Linked DNA regions of Xenopus tropicalis. The protein of the gene in region 2 interacts with the protein of the main gene of each other region in a pairwise test. Links are inferred from orthologs where the notes say so. Each region holds a gene or a part of one and is shown on either strand. Other genes may lie near its edges.

What was found.
Region 1: the proteins of sdcbp (region 2) and drap1 interact in binary tests that used the Homo sapiens proteins (3 or more experiments, as listed by UniProt). The two-hybrid records come from large-scale screens. The link is inferred for Xenopus tropicalis from reciprocal best matches to the Homo sapiens genes SDCBP and DRAP1.

What each region holds. Positions count from the first base shown.
Region 1 is NC_030680.2:38,508,912-38,512,563, reverse strand, and holds part of drap1 (dr1-associated corepressor), read right to left. Parts: intron 3,011-3,652; coding exon 2,891-3,010; intron 1-2,890. UniProt on the Homo sapiens protein: The association of the DR1/DRAP1 heterodimer with TBP results in a functional repression of both activated and basal transcription of class II genes.
Region 2 is NC_030682.2:116,370,287-116,374,691, reverse strand, and holds the start of sdcbp (syntenin-1), read right to left. Parts: upstream 2,905-4,405; 5' UTR 2,802-2,904; intron 1-2,801. UniProt on the Homo sapiens protein: Multifunctional adapter protein involved in diverse array of functions including trafficking of transmembrane proteins, neuro and immunomodulation, exosome biogenesis, and tumorigenesis.

The DNA of each region.
Region 1 (3,652 bases), on a different chromosome or scaffold from region 2:
AACAGAGGCACTCCCCATGAACATAGACATTCGCACAAAAAAGGCAATAACCCAAACCTTCATATATAAATGGCAAACATCCCACCTAAAATACCTGGGGATACACATCACCCCCAAGTATGAAGATCTCTATAGGGCAAATTACATACCATTACTTAAAAAAATCACACAGGACCTTAAGGAATGGGATAATTACCCATTATCCTGGTTCGGCCGTATAGCCTCTATTAAAATGAACATTCTGCCTAAACTGTTGTACCTTTTTGAGACTCTGCCTGTCACAGTTCCCGGAGCGGGTTTGAAAAACATCCAGAGGGACACTCTGAGATTTGTCTGGGGGTCTGCGAAGGGCAGAGTCTCAAGATCAATTCTACTCACAAGCAGACAACAGGGAGGACTAGCTGTGCCAGACATCTCCAAATATTACGATGCAGCCCAATTAAGACAAACTCTACCATGGATCCAGCCAACACCTCCCACAAGGTGGGCGCAAATAGAAGCCTCATACACCTACCCCTACCACATTAGCTGTCTCTTATTTGTAGAAAAAGGTAAAACCCTACTACCAGATACTGCACCTGCCCCAATAAAATTCACGGCCATGACCTGGAACAGATGCAAAAAGAAATATAAAATATTGGGGCTACACTCCCTTCTCACCCCCATATTGGGAAACCCTGAATTCTCACCAGGGCTCCTCTGGAATCATAAAACAACCTGGGCACCAATCAATATGACTAAGATCCATAACTTTATGGACCCAAGAAATCAAACTTTACCCCTATGAAAGACTCAAAGAGAAGTACAAATGGGCCAAAGACAAGTTCATGGAATATCTGCAAATCCAACACTTTATAAACTCTAAACTGGGCACAATCGCAATTAACCCCTTGACCCCATATGAAAAAATCTTGAGCTCCCCATTCCCCTATAAGGGCTTAATATCTCACCTCTACAAACTGATGGTAACATTACCTGAGGACCCCTTCCCCAAACATAGCTACATGCGGTATTGGGAAGAGGCCCTCGGGATAGAACTGTCTGACCATACCTGGTCAAAAATTTGGGACAATGCTAATCACATAGTCACCTGCACACAGCAGAAAGAAAGCGTTTACAAGGTAATGATGAGATGGTACATGACACCAGATAGGCTATCAAAAATTTATCCAAACAGCCTCCCACATTGTTGGAGGGGATGCACAGCTAGAGGAACCTTAAGCCACATACTATGGCAATGCCCCTTGGTAACAAGCTACTGGAAAGAGGTAGGCGACCTCATCACCTCAGTACTTGCAATACCACTAGATATTCAACCACCTCATCTTCTACTGGGACAACCCATAGCGAGACTCAAACGCCCAGTTCAAAAACTTGTAAACCACATCACAACAGCTGCACGATTAGCGCTCACCTCCAAGTGGAAATCACACAATATCCCCAACATATCCGAGGTCATAACAAGGGTGGAGAGCAATAAACGATTTGAAACGATGACCGCCTCTATAACTAATAATGTGCAATTGAATGATAACATATGGTTGCCTTGGGAAGCCTACTTAGCATCAAACCCACGGGAAAATCCAGAAATTCACACAAGCACAAACAATATGTCAGATGGAAACTAAAAACCACACCTTAATAAAGATAGGGGTTGCAGAACCACAAGACACACAAGGTAACAGGATCTGGACCAGAGCATGCACTGTTTTATTAGGTTTACAACTGTTGAACTTATGCTATTTTCATTTATGTATTAAAAGTAAAGCACAACATACTAACTATCAAGATGTCCTAATCAGCAATGTTTTATATGTATTATGTATTTCACATGATAATTTTTCAAATAAAAAATTTGAGTTACAAAAAAAAAAAAAAGAATGTGTGACATATGCAGAATTAGCTTTTATGTTATTTGGTATATAATATTCTTACAGGAAATATTAGTTACTTATTCTACTATATCTGGAATAGACATGCTGGAGGGTGCTGCACCACTATTTGCATGAAACTAAGGCATAATATCATTTATAATCCCTTAGGGTAAAGACACACAGGGCTACTAGTAGCAGCTACTTGTCACGGCAACAAAAATAGACAATGCTGATCATTTACTGATAATTGGCTCTACATGTGTCTTAGCAGAGGCAATTCTCAGTATTGTCTATGGCAGGGTATTTTCTGGCATTTAGGGTGAGCGACTAATCTCCCTGCAATGCCATCCCACCAGCAACAATGTAAATCGCCAGTGGGATGACATACGATTGATACGATTTCCCAAAGTTTTCGGTCAGATGACACTGTGGGAAGATTAGTCGTCGGTGGTAGCAAAGATTTGTCGCGGGGCAACTAATCTCCCCGTGTGCCACTGCCCTTAGGCAGTAGCTGCTACTAGTAGCTCTGTGTGTCTTTACCCTTAAAATGCTTGATAGCATATAACGTATGTCCACTACAGTCTCATCCTTAAATCAGTAGCATATAAACATCAATATTTTATTTCTTGCATATCAGGGATAAATCAAGGAGTACCCAGCCCCTTATCTTTTTCTCACAGAAAACAATATAAAAATCCATGAGGTGGAACACTGGATGGATGGCTGCTAACAAGTACCCCTCTGTGATACACAACAGGCTTAGCTGTAGTGCCTCCTGACTCCCTACTATCCATCCTTTCTCTTGTACTCTTAAAAGTGTAGTTATGGTCTCAGGTACAGGTGGGTAAAAACCAAAAGACTACATAACTACCACTACCATATGTTTACAGTGAATACTACTTGCACCACTGAGGCTATGCTTTTATGAACTGGAAAGAGCAACTCCAATGAAATGACCAGAAAGTTATGTATTCACATGTGGTGCACTTTACTGGGCTTACTCTGCAGTAGCTCACCTCCGTGACACCCTCTCTCCTTCAGTATGATTGTCTTCAGCATCACCCTGCATGTCTGGAACAGTAGCTACAAGATCCTTTAGGAAGTCAAACTGTTGCTCAAGCTCGATACACTGCTTTCTGGAAAAGAGAAAAAGGCAAAATGTTTTTTATCAAAACATACAATATTATTATGGTATCCAGAAAAAAAACTTTCTTTACATCAAACAACAACAATAAATCCTATTAGTTTCGATCATATTGGATCATTACAATATGTAGGGGAGAGGTAGATAGCATTTGTAATATATGAAGTTTAAGGGAGAAGAAAAGGCATTTTGGCTAGTGATCAGCGAACCTGTCCCATTTCACAGTGGCTACTGCACAACTTTTTTGAGGCACATGACTTTTATGATGCAACCGCAACTTTTTCCTCACTTGAGTGAACTTTTGTTAGTGACAAATGTTTGTGCCAGTTTTGTGAAAGTCACCACTGGCGAAATGCAAAATTGTGCAATCAATGTCTGGCAAAAATTTTTACTCATCACTAATTTTGGCATTTTATTGCCGATTGTTAAGGCACAATAGTGCAAGCTAGAAAGCTATATTTATTCTATAGAAAGCTTTGCCATACCTGATTAAACAGCCCTAGAAGCTCCCACTGATTGTATAAGATAGCAGCTGCCATTTTAGCTTGGTCTCAGTAGCTTCTGTGCTGCAGCTCAGATTACAGCACAGTTGGGAGGGGGAGAAGGGAGGGGGAGAGAGGAGCAAACCAAGCAG
Region 2 (4,405 bases):
AACCCCAGCCACAACCCCAGCACCAGCCACAACCCCCCCAGCACCAGCCACAACCCCCCCAGCACCAGCCACAACCCCCCAGCACCAGCCACAACCCCCCAGCACCAGCCACAACCCCCCCAACCCCAGCACCAGCCCCAGCCCCAGCCCCAGCGATGCGTCCTAGCGACGTCGCGTGCGCGCCGACGTCACATGCGCGCCGACGTCACGTGCGCACGGGCGCAACCCGGATGTAATTGGATAAAAACTGCAGGAGGCGCGCATACCGGTATAGCGGTATGTTCAAAAATCATATCGTTTTTTTTTCAAAAACCGGTATACCGGTTAAACCGGTATACCGCCCAGCACTACTTAGGTTTACAAAGCGGTCTGCAAATCTTTATCAGCAGTTTTCAAAATTTAAAGGAGAAGGAAAGGCTAGTAAAGAGTTAATCTCAAGCTGCAGGCATACCTTCAGTTGTCTCAATAATGCCCTTAAGTCTCCCCACATTTCTCCTGTTCAGATGATCAGAAGCCAAACAGGAAGAAAAAACCCTAAGCTGTGTAAAGAAAGTTCCCATAATGCCTCACTCCTGCACAGACACCGAGACCACTGAACATGCTCAGTTAGTAAGACTATGAGTCAGCTTCCTGCTGATTGGCTCAGATCCACATTCCTAAGGGGGGTTGTGAGTTCTTAACATTCTTGAGGGAGGGGGGAGAAGGAGAGAGCAGAGAGCTGAAAGCTGCGTGTCTCTGGCACAGGAATTACAGACACAACTAATCTTTTTTCAGAGAAGTCAGTGCAGTGTTTCTGTGAGTACTTATGGCTGTATTTACATAGACCTTTCTGATAAAGCTTACTTAGTTTTTACTTCTCCTTTAAGACTGTCCCCGTAGATAAAGAGCAGTGACTGGGGGGTGAACCTGAAGGCCAAGGTGGGATTTAGGGAAAATGCCTAAATCTTCTCCTAGATCAGTGCTGTGCAACATTTTCTTGGAAAAGTATGGCCACGACCATAATGTGACTAAATGACTAGCGTGTCCCTATAAGATGACGCCTGGGACAGCTAAACTAAGCTGTGTCCAACACAGCTGCTGTATGGTAAATGTCCTGTGTCTACAACAGAGATAGATTCAAGTTCTGGTGGCTCATAAAATAATAATAATAAAAACAGAGTAAGTAAATTTAGAGTTGTTAATGGCTAGATTTAATTATATGCGTCACCTGTAATTAGCACTGACCAGTTGATTATATGTGCTGATTATGAGAGACACAAGTAAATATAAATGTCGATTTACATTTTCGCCGGTGGGATGGCATTTCGGGGAGATTAGTCGCCCGAGACACAGGAGATTTGTTGCGGGCGACTAATCTCCCTGTGTGCCAGAGCCCTTAGAATCCGAACCAAACCACTGAAAAAAGCTACAGATGCAGAATGTGGCCTTCAGATGGACATATACATACACAAACCTGCATTCACAGATATATAGTGCCACATAATGTTTCCCCTACACACACCCCCAACCAAATGATCACGTGACCAGAAGCATGCACCCACAATACTGATCCTGACTCACATTAAATAAAGTGTGCTAACCAACGACGTTCAGCAGGCAGGAAACCCAGCCTGCAAATTACCAGTTTGTAAATTCCACTGATGTAGGTGCTTATTAATAGAAATAGTACTTTTGGCATGGCCACATTCATGTAATTCTTTAGGCTGCCACCTTACACGGTCAACGGTAAAAATGTCACAGAAAAAAGTCACTTTAACTTGTGATCTTCCTCCATTAGAGGTGTCTGTAGCACCTTCCCTAAACTCATCTACACAACTGTGCCCAAGGTCTCTCACACTTCCTCCTGTCTCTCACCTTATTTAAAGACGATGTTAGTGAAACCAAAGGCCTAAAACACATTTTTTTAACCCTACATTAATGTCTATACCAGATAATCTGGTGTTTAAGAATGCCGTTCGGTCACATGACATGGCTTAGTCCTCCCAAATCCCTTCTGGGTATTGGGGACTCAAAATAGGCAAATGGCTCAGCGGAAACAAGATTTTAAAGGAATCCAAATCACCTCACTTGACCTCTGGCCAATGCCATGGCACCTATTGCTCTATGGATGGTCCCACCATTAGAAATAGCCACACAGGAGAGCGCTGGGCAAGCGTATGTAAGAAATAGAATGGCAAAGTTAGTGAATAAAGAGGCCAAAGTGAGTGAGACAGAAAAGGTGGATTTGTATTACTTAGTCATATCAACCAACTACCCTCCTGTGTTTCTCAAAAAATGTCTATATCTTCTATTCCCCCTTTATGGCAGCTTTTAAGACCCTCAAATGAACATGGGGCCCCAATAAATACGCCCTTTATGCCCCAACTGGAGCTGGTCCCCTAATGGGGCGTAATCACTGGCATAACCAGACATCATTGGGCCCACAGGAAAATTGATATTGGGGACCCCCTAAAATTAAATAAGAATAAGCCCTTCACAAACATTCAGTGAAAGTGTTTATGAGCGGCCCACCCGGCCTCAGGAGTCGCACCCCCCCCCCCCCCCCCCCCTTCCTTAATAGTTCCACCCACGGCCCGTACTACCGCCCAATGAGCTGCCGGGGGGCTCCGGCTCCAGTCACACCTGGGGGACACTGAATGGGCACACCTGCCTGGGAAGCACAACAGCGATGGGGGGGGGGGGGAGAACAAAACTGAGTTGTATGGACCTAAGGGAGGATAATAACCACCCTCTGCCTTGCTGCTGGTGGGACAGCCCAAAATAATGTTTCTGTGAAGAGAAGCTGTAAGGGGGACACTTACCTGCCGGCAGGAGAATAACTCGAAGTGGAAGCCCTTCCCGTTAGTTGCTAACTAGTCCTCCCCACAGCTGCCTTCTCCCGACCCGTCTCTTCACAGCACTGACGTCACGGCACGGAGATGGCGCTGACGGAAGACAAAGGCAGTCGCACACTCGGGCAGAGCAGGGGAGAGCACAGGGAGGAGGGGTGGGCGGGGCTAAGGCGGGAGCAGGAAGGAGGGGTGGGCGGGGTTCAAGGCGGGTGACGTCATTTTCCGAAAAGTCGGCCCCGTGACTGTTGCCAAGGGTAACGGGAAGTTGAAGACTCCGGGGTGGGGTGTTGCTATTTTAATATTCCCATTTCCTCCATTCTTGTTTTCATGAGTTAAACACAGAGAACACAGTCATTTGTTAGGAGCTATCCCCTACCTAGCCGGGAAAAAGTGCGACCCCGCCCCCCCAAGATTGTAAAGGGAAATTTATTGTGCCGGGCCCGGCCCCTTTTTCTTCTGGGTTTTTATTGATATGTAATTTGTATGTTTTATACCATTCTGCTATACAGCACTGCAGAGTGTGTTGGCTCTTTGTAAATGTTTATAGTAAAGGGGGAATGAATGTCCATCACTAGGGTTGCAGGCTGGCTAGTAAAAAATATATAATTAATAGGGAAAACAAAAAAATATAGAAAAGCTGGTGTTTTCCCAGAAAAAGTGGGAGCCCTACCCCTCACACGCATTCTAATAATAACAGGACTGACACAGGGCTGATGTGCCTCCCACACTAACCAACATGCAGTGCAGCTTCTCTCTGTCCCAGCTCCTATACCTAGCCCCTATATACAAGCCTGGGGCCCATAACAAATTTACTGGCAACATACTTGTCTGTAAATTTATGATAACTATTCCATCCACCCCAGGCCTGCCTCCCATCAGCCCTTGCAGCTTCCAAAGAGACTAGCTCTACTTACAAAATGGCCTTCCAGTTCAGCCTGACTACCCTCTTGCGCCATAACCCTTTCCCTTTATGTCACATCCCACTCCTTTGTGCCCACCCTGCTCTCTCATAGCTCCGCTCCTGCCATTAAAATAACTCTTCAAAGGTGGCAAAGCTATCATGGATAAGGGTTGCTACCTTTTTCTGTGGCTAGTACTAGCATTTGGGTTGGTGGGCGGGAAGTGACATTTGAGGGTGTTGCAAGGGTCAGGGAAATGGGCAGACTGGGCAGGGGAAAGGTGCATGGAGCCAGTAAAGGTGGTCATACACATGCAGATTGTAGATGCCGATATCGGTCCCTTGGAAATCGGCCAGATATTGATCGGGCAGGTTAAAAAATTCAGTTGGATCAGGGACCGCATCGGCTCGTTGATGCGGTCTGCGAACGGATAGTGCCTAATACAGACGTTATAATTCGAACTAGTCAAAATTCCCCCGATATCGCCCACCCATAGGTGGGGATATCGGGAGAAGATCCGCTCGCATGGCAACCTTGAGCGGATCTTTATGTGTATGGCCACCTTAAGGGTGAAGACACACAGAGCTACTAGTAGCTAAAAATAGACTATAGACTAAAATAGACTAAAATAGACTATGCTTATCATTTACGGCTGTGACACACAGGGAGATTAGT